2 linked regions of the Oreochromis niloticus genome follow. The main gene of each other region encodes a partner of the protein of the gene in region 2 in a complex. Links are inferred from orthologs where the notes say so. Each region holds a gene or a part of one and is shown on either strand. Other genes may lie near its edges.

The links.
Region 1: the proteins of bckdha (region 2) and bckdhb are in contact, whole or in part, in a crystal structure (PDB 1V16), measured with the Homo sapiens proteins. The link is inferred for Oreochromis niloticus from reciprocal best matches to the Homo sapiens genes BCKDHA and BCKDHB. Residues at the interface, in NP_000700.1 of Homo sapiens: Phe155, Leu185, Gly186, Lys187, Arg189, Gln190, Gly196, Cys197, Lys198, Phe202, Val203, Thr204, Ser206, Pro208, Thr211, Pro214, Gln215, Val217, Gly218, Ala219, Tyr221, Ala222, Arg225, Gly244, Asp245, Ala248, Asn251, Phe252, Thr255, Leu256; in NP_000047.1 of Homo sapiens: Pro89, Thr90, Val92, Asp117, Arg118, Phe120, Asn121, Thr122, Pro123, Cys125, Gln127, Gly128, Ile129, Gly131, Phe132, Ile134, Gly135, Ile136, Val138, Thr139, Asp158, Gln159, Asn162, Glu163, Ala165, Tyr167, Arg168, Tyr169, Arg170, Ser171.

What each region holds. Positions count from the first base shown.
Region 1 is NC_031976.2:14,228,053-14,235,515, forward strand, and holds the start of bckdhb (2-oxoisovalerate dehydrogenase subunit beta, mitochondrial), read left to right. Parts: upstream 1-4,403; 5' UTR 4,404-4,454; coding exon 4,455-4,632; intron 4,633-6,451; coding exon 6,452-6,529; intron 6,530-6,720; coding exon 6,721-6,789; intron 6,790-7,463. Other genes in the region: dual specificity protein kinase Ttk, read left to right, coding at 1-45, 128-196. UniProt on the Homo sapiens protein: Together with BCKDHA forms the heterotetrameric E1 subunit of the mitochondrial branched-chain alpha-ketoacid dehydrogenase (BCKD) complex.
Region 2 is NC_031979.2:33,448,639-33,456,676, reverse strand, and holds the start of bckdha (2-oxoisovalerate dehydrogenase subunit alpha, mitochondrial), read left to right. Parts: upstream 1-4,982; 5' UTR 4,983-5,168; coding exon 5,169-5,282; intron 5,283-6,890; coding exon 6,891-7,067; intron 7,068-7,174; coding exon 7,175-7,261; intron 7,262-7,870; coding exon 7,871-7,979; intron 7,980-8,038. Other genes in the region: exosc5 (exosome complex component RRP46), read right to left, coding at 229-369, 478-599, 816-929, 3,313-3,448. UniProt on the Homo sapiens protein: Together with BCKDHB forms the heterotetrameric E1 subunit of the mitochondrial branched-chain alpha-ketoacid dehydrogenase (BCKD) complex.

The DNA.
Region 1 (7,463 bases), on a different chromosome or scaffold from region 2:
CTCGCAGCCCTCCAGTCTCCAAACAGCATCATCCGAGCTGCTAATGTAAGATTAACCTCCCAAAATTTCTTCTCAGACTTCTTAAACAAGTTTCTGAAGCACTAACTTTGCTCTCTCATCGTCACAGAATTTGGCAAGAATGTGCAGCAGTGGCAAGAAGCTGGATGTTGCAGAGTGTGCAAAGTCATCATCTTAACTACCCTGGAATATGTGATGTGGCTGTTTCTACTTTTGTTCTTCTAAACCGCTCGTAACCACTAAAGTTTTCCTTTTTTGTAAGATAAAGCAATCTGTGTTTTTCTTGAAACAAAATATCGCATCGTTTCATTTTTACTCATATTAGTAAATAAAAGCACAAGCCAATTAGCCATCATTAAAACTACTTGTTTAGTATTGTGTGGTTTAAACCACCAAAAAACAAAAAAACAAAAGCTGTGACCTGTAGTGACATTGATGCCAGACATTTGGCAGTGGCTCATTTGGATCCTGTCAGCACAGTATGGGCTTTCAGTCCCATGGAAATTGACTGGCTTGTTCCAGTGCATCCTGTGAATGCTGTTTCAGATTGGGATCTGGAGAGATCAGGAAAAAACTTTGTGTATGTGTGTTCTTGAACCCTTCCTGAGCAGTTTCAGGGAGTGCTGTTGCCATTACAGGATGTGCTTGCTTCTGTGCTCTGCAACAGAATTTATGTGGGTAGTACCTTTCAGAAATCCACACGAATGGTAGAACCTGTAAGTGTTACTCACTTATCCTTGTTTTAATGTTTTGGCTTATCAGTTTGTGCAGTATAGTATAACCCAATAAACATACTGTATTGTACCATAAGAGTCTGTGCTTTGTTTATTTCAGTTAACATGAAGGAACTTTAAGTTGAATATTGCGTATGTTTTTTTTGTTTGTTTTTTCTGGAACTTTTTTTTTTTAAATTTTCAAAGCAGTTTTTCACATGATTTGTCAGTTTACAATTACCAGTTAAACCTAACGTGCACAGAACATGCTACATGAAGGAGCCAGAAGCTTCTTCCTGTGAGAGCAGCAACAAAGTCAAGTTGTAATACAAATGCTTTACACACAAATATGTAAAAAATACTTTTACATTTTTACCTGTTTTGTAACAGTCTTACATGTCCCAGAAGTGGCCCGTATGTGCTAGTCAATACTTCAAAGAACAACCATTGTATAACAAATACAATGGTTGTTCTTGATGAGTCTGCCTGTATCAACCCTACACCATGAGGCAAGTAACAAGAGTCTGAAGGTCTGCTTTTACTGGGAGGTAAAAACCTCAGGCCTCAACTCCTCCACAAAGAGGAGGGAAGACAGTGGCACATTGCAGCTCCTAAGTGCAAACGGGTATAGGGGAAGGCATGAGGAAAATCCCAATGAGTTTCTGGTCTCAGCTACAGGGAGTCTGCACTCTCAACCCCAGGTGCAAAGTCCTTTCTATATGCCTGTGCCTCCTCTGTAAACACAAGATCATGGGAGACCTTTTGGGTACCCAGTGTGGGCTGTGAATCCAGACCAGTTTGCTGCAGGACTGTAAAACTTTAAAACTTTTGCATCTGGCAAGGTTGTCATGCCCTCTGTAGTATCTTTTGCCAGAGCTTATGTGTATGTATTTGGCATGTATGTACTTGGGGTTTTTAGTGTTTGGTAGGACAAGAAATGTCCAAGATTCATTTTTCTTGTGTCATTCTAACTAATGACATAATTAGCTACTTGAAACATATTTATCAGCATCTATATATTGATATTTGTTTTCAATTAAGGTTGTAATGTTCCTGTCATGTTTGCAAAGAAATGGGAGCAACAAGCTCAAAAACCCACCCAGGACAGCATGAATAAATTCATCAGAATGGATTTTAAGATTTTAAGAAATGATATTTTTCTTGCCTCTTAATAAGGTATAATGTAAGTGGTTATTGACTGAGACTTGGGGAAACAACCATAGCGATGGAAGTCACACACTCACGAGAGAGATTCATATATTTTGTACCTTTGGAGTACATACGATTTTGTGAGAGACATCTTGAGATTTTTACTTTCTTAGTGGAAGGGGAAACATTGGTGTAAAAGGCGTACTCTGAAAATGTGGACTTGAATTCATTAACAACCAGCTGCAGTACTCTGGACAGCTTCACGGGTACCAATCGACGTACGGTAAATGCAGGGGGGAAAAGTATTTCTCAGGATCTCGCAAAAGTACGTGCACCACGCCCCCCTTCAAAATGTCTCTTGCGTGGCTCCGTACCGTAGGCAACAGCGTCACCGATCACTTGTGTGTGTGTGTGTGTGTGTGTGTGTGGGGGGGGGACACTTTACCGAAACAGGTAGACAGCAACATGACATTAACAGTTACAGAAGAACACGTCTACAGTAAAATGCATACATAAATAAATATAAATAAAGTCATCATGAAAATACCACGAGTTGTTGATTAAAAATATATAATAATATATGAAATATATATGAATATATAAAATACGAAATAAAAATGAATTACATTACAGGGAAATCAAACACTGTTAGGGCCTTTGGTGATTTCTTATTTTTCAACTTAACCCGCTTGTCTGTTTTCTCCAGTCCGGTCAGAAATTTGACCACTGTTGGGTCTCGGCGTGACTCGTGATTTAGACACCTGTAAGTACTGCGCACGCCGCCCTCCCTTTGGACCAATCACGGCCTTTATGTCACTTGCTGAGGCTGAGGCAGGAAGAAAAGAAGAGCTCTCACTCCGTCACTATTCCCAGAAATCACAAAGAGCGGGGTCTCTCCCACTCGTATTATAATGATTACAGCAGTAGCTTCTAAAACAGGGGTCTTGAACTCCAGTCCTCGAGGGCCGGTGTCCTGAAACTTTTCCATGTGTCCCTGTTGCAACACACCTAATTACAATTAGTAGTTCATTAGCAAGACTCCATAGAACTCCAGAAACCTTGGAGTCATTTTTGACCAGGACATGTCCTTCAACGCACATATTAAACAAATATGTAAGACTGCTTTCTTCCATTTGCGCAACATCTCTAAAATTAGAAATATCCTGTCTCAGAGTGATGCTGAAAAACTAGTTCATGCATTTATTACTTCCAGGCTGGACTACTGTAATTCATTATTATCAGGAAGTCCTAAAAACTCGCTGAAAAGCCTTCAGCTAATCCAAAATGCTGCAGCAAGAGTCCTGACAGGGACTAGAAAGAGAGAGCATATTTCTCCTGTTTTGGCTTCCCTTCATTGGCTTCCTGTTAAATCCAGAATTGAATTCAAAATCCTGCTCCTCACACACAAGGTCTTAAATAATCAGGCCCCATCTTATCTTAATGACCTTGTAGTACCATATCACCCTATTAGAGCACTTCGCTCTTGCACTGCAGGCCTACTTGTTGTTCCTAGAGTATTTAAAAGTAGAATGGGAGGCAGAGCCTTCAGTTTTCAGGCCCCTCTTCTGTGGAACCAACTTCCAGTTTGGATTCGGGAGACAGACACTATCTCTACTTTCAAGATTAGGCTTAAAACTTTCCTTTTTGCTAAAGCATATAGTTAGGGCTGGACCAGGTGACCCTGAATCCTCCCTTAGTTATGCTGCAATAGACGTAGGCTGCCGGGGATTCCCATGATGCATTGAGTTTTTCCCTTCCAGTCACCTTTCTCACTCACTATGTGCTAATAGACCTCTCTGCATCGAATCATATCTGTTATTAATCTCTGTCTCTCTTCCACAGCATGTCTTTCATCCTGTTTTCCTTCTTTCACCCCAACCGGTCGCAGCAGATGGCCGCCCCTCCCTGAGCCTGGTTCTGCCGGAGGTTTCTTCCTGTTAAAAGGGAGTTTTTCCTTCCCACTGTCGCCAAAGTGCTTGCTCATAGGGGGTCATATGATTGTTGGGTTTTTCTCTGTATTTATTATTGTGCTATCTACTGTACAATATAAAGCGCCTTGAGGCGACTTTTGTTGTGATTTGGCGCTATATAAATAAAATTGAATTGAATTGAATTGAACATAACTGCATGCTGAGGTGGCAATTCAGCCAGATTCATGTTACAGATGCTCGTGAGTGAATGAACACGGTGCAATAAAAGTAAATTTTTCCAAACACTTACATTTACTTAAATTTACTTGAGTAAGGTTAGGGGTTGCCACTTCAACATGCAGTTAAGTTCTATACTAATTTCATTCAGGTGTGTTGCAACAAGGACACATGGAAAAGTTTCAGGACACCGGCCCTCGGGCACTGGAGTTCGAGACCCCTGTTCTAAAACGTTAACACAGAAATATTTGTTTTTCAATAAGCTGGCATGAAATCTCTCCGCATTGTTTATTGAAGCTTTGGGAAAAGTCTCCGAAGTTGATCGGGAGTGAAACAATTCCCTCCGCTGGGATTGGGAGCTAGCTCTAATAGACGATCTTTGGTCGTAGGTTCCTCTTGCCCTTCCTGTTCACTCACAACAACAGTGATGGCGGCTGCTGCTCGGCTCTTCATTCGAGGTGCAAACTCGAAACTTTCCATCGCCCCCAGCTCTTTAGGGGTCACGCTGCTAAAACTGTCGCCGAACTGCAGCTCCCGCACAAAAACACAACGAAGGCATGCGACGCACTTTACCTTCCAGCCCGACCCCGTCCCGTCTCAGTACGGTGAGTGTCTGGCTAACCGGCTAACATGGGGGAGCGGGTCGTGTTGGATACCGCTGGAATGTTCCTCAGTCCAACCGAGAAATAAGCACAGAAACGAGCTGTCACCGTGAATTACACAATGTATGGTTAAAGGAAACAGCTGCACGTGGGGTTTTTTGTTTACTTGTTAAGTCAGCACAGAGCAGTGTCGGGTACTTCCACCGCACTATCAGCACGGGCTTGCATTAAAGTGTGCTTGGAATAATAAATATTTATTTTCACACAATAGTTCGGTTATTCAGTAACAGAGCCAGATAAACTTTATTTTTATTATGACATAAGTGGGCTGGCCAGGTTAACACTAAAATGCGAGACAGAAGCTGATCATCCGTGTGGCACACTGCTAGGAGTCCACAGAAGGTAAATGGCACTGTTTGCTGTCCCAGAGCTACTTTGGCTTTTCAGACTAATCTGGCCTTTTTGTCCATGGGCATGATCACTGGTTTGTACTGCTGTATTTGCTCTTAGGAAGACTAAATAGCCATGAAAACAGGCTTAGATAACGGTATACTTACCACCTTCATCTTTACTTTTCCATTGTTGTGAAGCTGTCCTCATCATGGAAAAGATCCTTCTGTATTATCATTTCCTCTGTGGACGGCCAGGCTCACCAGTGTGTTGTTGGTGTTTTTTTTTTTTTTAATTATTATTATCATTATTTTATTTTAGAATAAACCAAAATGGTGATTTGGTCATTTTATGTTTAATGTAGTCTCTTTGTTTTGGCCCCCCAAAGGATGCTCTGTTTCACTTACACTTACTTAAAAGCTCCTGCATCTTGTGGGTTCATAGCCACAGCGTCCATACGACTTCTTGCAATCAGGTCCAGTCTTTTTACCTGGTTAATGAATGCTGAAATAAAAAAGCAATAGCACACATCATTGCATAACACAGCCCTTGACTTATTTGTCGCTGGACAGGCGAAAGATTCCTGGTTTGATTCTGGGAGGAGACGCTGTCTCTTGGCTCAGGAAGGGTATCTGGTGTAAAACTGAGAAAATGAAACATTCAAAGCTACCTGCTGTGAATAAGGAAGTAGCTAAAAATGTATTCATCTTTTCCTTGTAGTGTGATCTAATTCCAGGCTCTAAGCTGATTCTATAATATACTCTTACTCGATCCAGAATCACAACACGGTACTAAAAATTATAGGTGGGAATCACCTGACACCCCTCAATACAGTATTATCACAATATTTTAATCTGATGTTAATGTGAATTTTTTTTAACATGTTGCAATAAGCTCAAAACATAAAGTGCAATTTCACATTGTTTCAACTGCAAATTATGTTCTCAGAGTTAAACTCTTAAACTTTGCAATTCAATGAGGTCAAGCTGGCAATACAGCAATATAATACAGCAATTAACTACTATAAATCCTTATAAATCACATATCTGTTGTTGTCTGTATAGACAGAAGGTCGAATTTAACTACTCCATTTGTGCTTTCCTGTTCTGTAGGAATACAACCAAAATACAACCAGCTGGTAGCCAGTTGGCTCGAGTCCTTTCGAGTTGTGCTCATTGATAAACATTCATTCAGATTGATGGCAACATGGTGGCAGTCTGTCTGCGTTTATAAATTAAACAGCATTTATTTGCAAACCTTCGACAACCTCTCTGAGAATGATTGCAGTTGGTTCGAGTCAGACTGCAACTGTTCTGTTGAGGCCTAGTCGTGTTCAACAGTCCAAATGCAGAGTGCACAAAAACCATTAAGATATTTGCATTTTTTATGTGTGAAGTTCTTCATTTTTTTAATTTAATTGGTTCACCTAAAGGTCCTACCCAGAAGATGAACTTGTTCCAGTCCATTACGAGTGCCTTGGACAACACTCTGGCCAGCGATCCTACCGCAGGTAAAAAGCAAGCAGACACACTCTGTAAACCTCCAGGCTGCCTAACAATCATGAAAGTATGAATCAAGCTGTCCAAGACACCAGTTATTGGAAATCTAAAAAATTCAAAGTGGCTTAATCGAAAGAGTTTTCAGTATTTTTCACTCTTGCATACTTGAGCACTCATGTTGCTGACTGTTGTTTCTCTGCAGTCATCTTTGGGGAAGATGTCGCCTTTGGTGGAGTGTTCCGATGCACAGTGGGGCTGAGGGACAAATATGGTAAGATGCTGCTTTCTAGTTTAACGCTGGCTTTAAAACAAATGAGATTTACCTGATTTGAGCGACGCATACCAATGCACGGCATCAAAAAAAATCATAACATTTTTTTTTTTTCTTTTTTCAAAGTTGTTCTTGGTTGGTATAAGGTGACCAGGAACATAATTTTGAGCTGTCTTAAGTCAGCCTTTTTCCTCATTGACGTTTGCTTGTTTTGGCAAGGAAACCAGTGAAGTTCAGGCAGCTGAACAATGGGTGCTCTGTCCTTGTTCCCTTAGTCAGCATTGTGAAGTATTGAGTAACCGTTCTTTTTCTCTCTGTTTCTACTCCATTGTTTAAAGGTTTTTCACCTTGACAATTACAATCACGAGCATCATGGAAAATCATCTCAAAAAGAACCCTGTTGTAGTCTTGGAAATAGTGCAAAGTCCGCTAAATCTTACACTCTGTGACTAAAGACTGGGTTGTATGGTAGACATTAACAATCCCTCTCAAAAGTGACACCTGAATAGTTGGAAGAAAAAAAAAATTGTTAGGAACCTGTAGTCTGTGTAATTTTCGCCACTAGATGGCAGCAAAACACTGCTGAGAATCTCACCACCCACTGCTCTTCGGAGGGGCCTGTTACTGCCGAGCGTTCACCCAGAGGACCAGCATGATCTACTGGCACACGTGTC
Region 2 (8,038 bases):
TAAAATAAAATTTCTTTTCCTTATATTAAGATATTTCAAAGGATTGAACTTCCTGATAGAAAAGAGAGTTTTAGTGGTATGGCCCACTTAATATCAAAGTGGGATGAAAAAGATCTACATTTTCTGTGACATTTGTTTGAGAAGTTCTTAGGAAATTTGGCAAAAGCCACTTTCAGAGTGTTTTGGGATCAATTTGGTCACCCAACATTATAAAAGCCTTAGATTTACCTTTTCCTGAGCTGCAGTGGGATCTGTGATGATTTGCCCATCTGTGCTGATGGCACAAGTCACTCCACAGAAGAGGCAACTCATGGGCAATCCTGCATCCATAAGAGCCATACATGCAGCATTCAAACAGCAAGACAGCAGCTGAGGAACAGGTAAGGAAGAACACTCACAGGAAACATCTCAATTTTAGAACCCTACTTGCAGATTGGATATAAACCCCAAAGCTTGCAGAGTTTTACAGAAGGATACTGAACCATCATCATGCAGGACCTGAAGAATGAGAGTGAGCGAGGAGCGTGGATGGAGCGTCAGGAGCAGAGAAGCCTCACAGGTTTCTCGCACACACTGCTCTTGTGATCGTTCCCTTACACCTACAAAACAAACAAATCGAGGTATAAAAAAACTTAATGTGAGCAGAAAGCTCACGTACCCCACCCTGTGGTGAGCTGTGGTATAGCAGCTTTTTCCACAGCAGAAACCTCTGAAACATTCTTGTAGATATCAGGATGCAAAAAGTCTATTTCCCTAAAATAAAATAAGCAACGCTGCATAATGAAATTTTTTACCCCTTAAAAAGAAAAACTCACTTGGCAACCCCACTTTGGGCTGTACCAACACCTCCAGGGTCGCCCGGTCATAGATCTCCTTGCTGACTTTGACCTCAGCTGGTCCGTACACTCCAGCCATCACACTCGTGTCTCCTTCAAACAAGAACAAAAAGGAGCATTTTTCAATAAATAACACTGGAGCATTAATGATGTCTTTCCCCACATAAACAGACATCTAGGAGGGGAAAAGCAGTAACATCAAATCATTGAAAGCAGTACGACACCCAGTAAATATGCTCACAGCACATGTAGTTTTTAAAGAGGGGACTCAAACGCAGACACCCTATTTAGAACAAGCTTTTAATAAGAGAACTAAAGCTGATGTCACAAAGTCTCATCATGTAAATTTCACATTTATTCTTAAGACATTTTTTAAAGACACTGAATCAGCCCATCCATCCATTTCTGCTTATCATTATCAGCTATCATAGGGCGAGAGGCGGGGTACACAGGGTGCTGGGCTCATCTCTGAATCATTCTGGAGTAATAATCTGAATATTAAAGGTAAAAGTATAAACACAAATTACAGAAGGATACTGAGTCATCCCCATGCCCATGCCCTGAACCTTGGTCTTATTGTCCACATAGGTGTTACATTCTGTGACAGACATTATATATGTTTAAAATACATCAAATGCAGTAAGTATACACATTTCATATAAACATAGTCTGTAACTTTCTTATTTTCTTTAGCCCAAATAATTAAACATTTCAGTTACATAAAACATGTACATTTTGATTTGATGTACTGTATAGCCTATATAATAAATAGGCATTTGGCCATTAAGTATAAAATACATAGAGGTACAAGACATGAGATGGTTCAGTTAGAAGTTCAGTTCGGTTAGTTTCACACTCTTTTTAAAATTAGAAATAATCAAATTGTTACAGGCTTTAATTTACACAAATTGCCAGAAGTCTGCACTGTCATGAAAAAGTTTTCACCACAATTTTTCATGATTTATTAGGTTAACCCTCTGATGTCCAGGATATTATTGGCCATTTTTGACTACTTACTAATTTTACCTTTACATTTCACCTTTAAAAACTATTTGCCTTGTCTTGTTTGGTATCATTCTTTTCAGCACAATCTCACATGTCTGAATTTACATCCCCAAAAAAATCTGAGCAGGAAAAAGGTTTTACTGTAAAAAACAAAAAACAAAACAAATAAAACGCCAAAATGTTTCAGAATTGCAAATATAAATTGTAAATTTTAAAAACGCCTGCACAAATCTTGCAAAGAATAAAGATACATGCAACTATTTACCTAATAATGCAGCCAATGCCTCAGACATTTTTGTACAACTACTAAAACTATAATTACAGAACAGGTGTCACAATAAGATGCCACACAAATTATTTGTGCCACTCCAAAAGAAAGTTTCTGTCCACCACAAGAAAGAGGAGCACATCACAGACCTGAAACCTGCAGGTCTAACAACAGTATGCGTATCACTGTTTTTCACCTGGAGACAGCGTTTACGCTGCAATCTGCCTTTGATGGCTTTTGGCAGCAACTGTGACAATCACTAGTGTCCTCATTGTTTTGACACATAAAAACAAAACAAAGAACTACACAACACACTAACTTTACATTAACTACACACTCCAAACACGTTAAATGTCACAAATCTCTCACATCCAATGACTGTAGAATTGCTCTCCCCTTTTCCCCAAAACACAAATGTCACATGTTGCCAGATAATTTTTTTTGATTGGTCAATATGGTACATTTTTCCACCAATAGGAAAGTGGTGGGTTTTTTTCGCGCTGTTATTAGAAAATGCAGTTTTTTAACTTTTCTTGGTACATAGTTTGAACTTTCAACAAAAATGAAAATTAAATGGAGACTGCATCTTGTTGCTATGTCATCTTAAATTGGTCATGTGACTTGGAAGCCTCCAGAGAAGTGTTGAAATCTGAAATGTCCATGGTGTTGATTCAAAATGTGCACAGTAGATCCGCCCCTGGAGGGCGGTTAACACTATGCAATAAATGTATTTTATTTTATTAATTAGTTGTAGCTAGGCTCAAAGTTAATGCTACCTTATTTTAATAAACAACATTGTCATATACAAAGGTAAGATGGCACATGCCACCCCATGCCACCCCATACCACCACAATAGATGCGCTCCTGATTCTCATCGTTACATTATTTTGACAAATAGTTCAATATTTCTTATATTACATTTGCATAATCACATCGAAGCATGTTAAAACCCCGAGATATAAATATGTATAAATAAGATTACCAGTTTTGCGAAAAGGTAAATATTATGCCTGATTAACAATACCCCCCCAGCATGTTTTACTTTTATTCTTATTCATAAAGGTAAAGAAAGTCATGTCAGTAACTGAAGTGGCAGGTTAATTTCCAGAGATGTTCCCTAACCTTTCTCCGTCTTTTAAGTCCAGTTTAGCGGTAAGAGGCAAATAAACGCCCAGATAAATAGTTTCTAAAATTAGTGTTACCTTGGACGAAGGAAGCAGAGCCATCAGGTCGAGACAGCAAGCTCTGTTCACAACCAAACTCTCTCAAAGAAACAGTCAGGGAGCCGCAGACCTCCATCGTGGAGAAAGCAGATTTGTCGCAGGCGGATGGCGTCATCTGTTTTCCCTGTAGTTTACGCTCCTTACTGATGACATCAGAATGAGAAAGAAATGTTAGCTTTAATAAATAGTTAATTCACAAGAAATGTGGATCTGTAATATATATCTATGACAACGAAGAAAAAAATAATATTTTTTCATCATAATTCACGTTTTCCTGACGCAATCTGAAGCCCTACTTTGCCTTAATACGTTTAATGTATTTTGAAAGTACCGGAAGTGCAGCATCCGTATAATAGTGTAAACTGTGAGTTTAACAATGTGTAGTTACTCACAATGACCGCCAGATGGCAGGCAGCAGCTGCATTTAAACACAACGGTGTCAACCTATCATTTTCTTCTCTTTTTTTTTTTTCATTATTCGTCATAACCACCCACCGGAATTTTATCTACATCAGTTTATTTACTGCTTTCCACAGGTGAGCTTTCACTGGCATGATGTGAATTGCAATCACCATGTTGCAGCTCGCGCTATCACCACTAGATGGCGATAAATACTCGTGGCTGCAAAAATTGATTTATCTGCAGTCTGCATTTACAACATCAGTTAGCTCAGAACTGAAGCGAAGACATTTTCAGATTTTGACAAGTAGTTGAAATACTTTATTTTAATATGTCAACGCCTCTACCTGCGATATTACTTGGTTTATCATCGGGACTGGAAGTAATAATATTCTTTACTGTGCATGCCACTGACGTTGCTTTTGCTATTAATGCACTACTGCACTGTGACCACAAGATGGCAGCAGAGTAGGGTTTAATTTTTGGTAGGGTTGAAAGGACGTAGAAATCGTTCTTTTATGACTGTATTTAAGAACACTTGTGTTCATCAGTTTTTCCATACTGCTTACGGCTCTATCCTCCCTTCTCTCTTTTTCTTTCTTTCCTATTGCATATCTGCCCCTGACTCTCTAACTTAGGTATAACTGACATCTCAGGTAGAGTTCGTTAGAGGAACGCTGTTTTATTACAAACTGTTTCAGGCATGTTACAGCTGATCTGTATGTCCAAAAAGACACATGCGCAATTTTTCATTCATTTTTTTTTTTTTACTTTTACTTCTTTTTGTAAGATGTATTATATATCACATTGTAATAACTGTCGTTTGTTGTTAATGTGACTGCGTTGCTGTGTCTGAGCAGGCAATGTGTCTTAAAATAGGCAATACTGATTTTGATAAGTTAAAATCGCCCCAAAAAGGCCACCGGAAAACGACCAAGGCGCTTCGTGACGCATATAACATAGTGACAGTATTTTAATTAACAGGTCAGTATCACACAATGGACTTTCATCAGGTTAATTCCCCGACTGGGAGGGGGAGCTTTAATTCATAAAACTGGCACTCTGCCTTTCTGGAAAACCCACGCATTATTTATTTATTTATTTATTTATTTATTATTGCTATTCTAACACAAAAGAGTGTTAAATCTCGACATCTTTAATCGCTCATTTCTTCAACTTATGAAATATGTAAAAACGGACAACTAAACTTAAGGTTTTATTTTGAAGGCCTGGCCGGATGTTGAGGATACTGTAGCCGGCTTTAATGGTGCAGTCAGTTTGCGGCTATCGGCCTGTAAACTGTGGATGTAAACAGGAAGGACAGCGAGCGGTGGTTATTAGCAGTTCCGTTGGCCAGATTTTTACATATCCACCACAGTGTAACTTCTCTAAACCGGTGTGCAGCGGCGGTTAAATCAAACAACTACTGAGTGCCGATGGCGGCTGTGAGCAGCATGAGCAAAATGTATGGGCTCTGTTTCCACGCTGTCCGCCAGACAGCAGGACTGAAGGCATCTCGACTGCTGCAGCGCAGAGGCTTCAGGGTCACTGTAAGTGAAAACTCCGATGCAGTGTTTGGATAGGGCGATGAATAAATTATGGGAAAAGTCGCTCCTGCGGAGTCTGGACTGGAGATAACGCTGCCATTGAGGGGCCGGGAAACATTTTTTATTTCACCATTCATTAACCGCACAGTTTTCTTTAAGCAAACAGTATTATTATAGTTCTTCATGATTGGGCCAAGTGTCCTCTTTTTTGGAATTCGAAATATTGTCACCCTATCTTTTAATAAGTTTTGGGGTTATGTCTTGTTTGCGCAAAGATTCTGGTTAGCTACGGAGCTGCTAGCATGGCTAACAACCTTGCTGAAATTCTATACCGATTCTCCAATGTATCAGTGAAAAGTCAAACTAACTCTCACATATTTAGTGAATACATGTTTGATCTTTAATAAACAACTTTAGTTGCAATAAATACTAATTTTAATTTTTGTTGTTTTGACTCTCACACTTGACTAGTTAGCCAACCGGCTAAAGGCTTAGCTAGCTTCTTTTCCATTGGTCGAACCAAGGGGCGTGAAGGAGGAAATAGAATAGAATAGAATTCAACTTTATTGTCATTGCACATGTCACAGGTACAGGGCAACGAAATGCAGTTTGCATCCAAACTGCATTAAGCTTAAATCCGATGTCCTCGAATGCATCATTTTTTCAAAACAACTTTATTTAATAACTGTTGCTGCTCTATGGCCTTCGCTGCTATTTTATTTCCTTCGATCGCTCCAGCACTTAAATCTGTATGTAACTCTTTAAAAATAATCTAATTTATTTATTTATAGGTCCATCAATAATCATTTGGAGTGTCTAAAATCTGTATGGGAGGGAGATTTGGAAATGGTTGTTATAGTGGAGCAATGGAACTGCACTGTAAGAAGTACATACTTATTCATGATTTATAAGAGTATTGTATTGTCTTCAGCTTTCTGAAGTTAAGCTTTCTAAAATGTCTAAAGATTCAACGAGTGTTATTGTAGTTAACTAAAACAAAACTAAAAGCTTAAACTAGATGTTAAAAAGGTTACCTAAAATTAGAAACTAGCCTTTTGAAAAAAATAAAACTAAAACTAATAATCAATCAATGAAACTTAATTTTTAATTCCATTTTTATGCAGTTTATTAATTCAGTTCAAAGTGCTGGTGGACAAACCCGTGGGGGGGGAAAAGAGCAAAATACAACGAAGCAACACAAATACAAAAAATATTATTAACAAAATAAATTCAGGTAAGTTGTTTGTGCACACCTCTCATAAGGTCCTACCACAGAATCTCAGTCAGGTTAAAGGTCACTGGGACGTTGGAACACCTTTTTTTCAGCTATCCTGCTGTAGATTTGCTGCTCTGCTTAGTATTATCCAGTTGCATGACCCAGTGGTTGTCAGACACATGGCCTCACATTTGACTCTAGAATACTTTGGTATACAGAAGAGTTCACGGCTGTGTGGCTGCAAAAAAAGCTCAAATCACCCCTCCACCACCGTGCTTGACAGTTTGTATGAGTTTTGTGACCTGATATGCAGTGTTTTCTTTTCCTAGAGCCTTTTTTTTGCCACAGCCACAATGAGATTCTTAATAAATAATGATTGTAATCAATCTTTTCAGGTTGTTCAGCTGCAGCAGCCCTTTGACTCATCGCTGGAAAAGCCCCAGTTTCCAGGAGCCTCAGCCGAGTTTGTGGATCAGCTCGAGTTCATCCAGCCCAATGTCATTTCTGGGATCCCAGTGTACCGGGTGATGGACAGGCAGGGAAATATCATCAACCCCTCTCAAGACCCTCAGGTACAATCAGCCTGCCTGTGCTCCTGGTTCCCAAATGTGCCCCTAAGACCTCTGCAGTCTGTTGAGCCAAAGTTAATTTGTCAATTGTGTGTTTCTCTCCAACACAGCTCTCCAAAGAGACAGTTTTGAACTTTTATCAGAAGATGACCCTGCTGAACACAATGGACCGCATTCTTTATGAGTCTCAAAGACAGGTATGTTTCCTCCTGCATCTCCTGGCTCAACCTGATTATTTAAAACACAACACCAGCAGTTTTTGAACTTTAAAAATTGGTGTCTCAAAGGGTATTTTCTTTATCCATTCATTCATTCATTCATTTCCGCCTATCCACTGTTTTAGGGCGAGAGGCAGGGTACACCCTGGACAGGTCGCCAGTCTGCTGCAGGACTCCTTTATATTAACTATAATTTAAAATTAAAAATGAATACATAAAAATGAGGAGTTCTGGAGGACACAGGACTAGGGAGTGTTTTTGACTGAAAGGCCAACTGTTGCTGATTACTGAACGAAATCCAGCGAGAGCCCTTCAGTGATCCTGTGACACAAGCAGGTAGTTTTATTTCCTCCAGATCTTTTAGTCATCTTGGCTTGAGCTGAACTAAACAGCAAGTGATTTTTAGTTTTTATGAAGGGAGAACACCAAACAGTTGTAAAAGACAGAGGTGCACTTGATTTATAACAGCAAAACACAAAGGTTTCAGGTAAAATTAATGGAAAAAGTAAATATTTTTTCGCCACTTACTTTGTTTTCATAATACTTGAGATTACAGTCTGATTAACCGCCCAGCCCTGTCCGTTACAGGGTCGCATCTCCTTCTACATGACTAACTATGGTGAGGAGGGGACACACATCGGCAGTGCTGCTGCTCTGGATCCAAACGATCTGGTTTTTGGGCAATACAGAGAAGCTGGTAAGAATGAAATGTGGCTTTGTTTGGTCTGTGGTTATTGTTCATATGAATATTTTAAT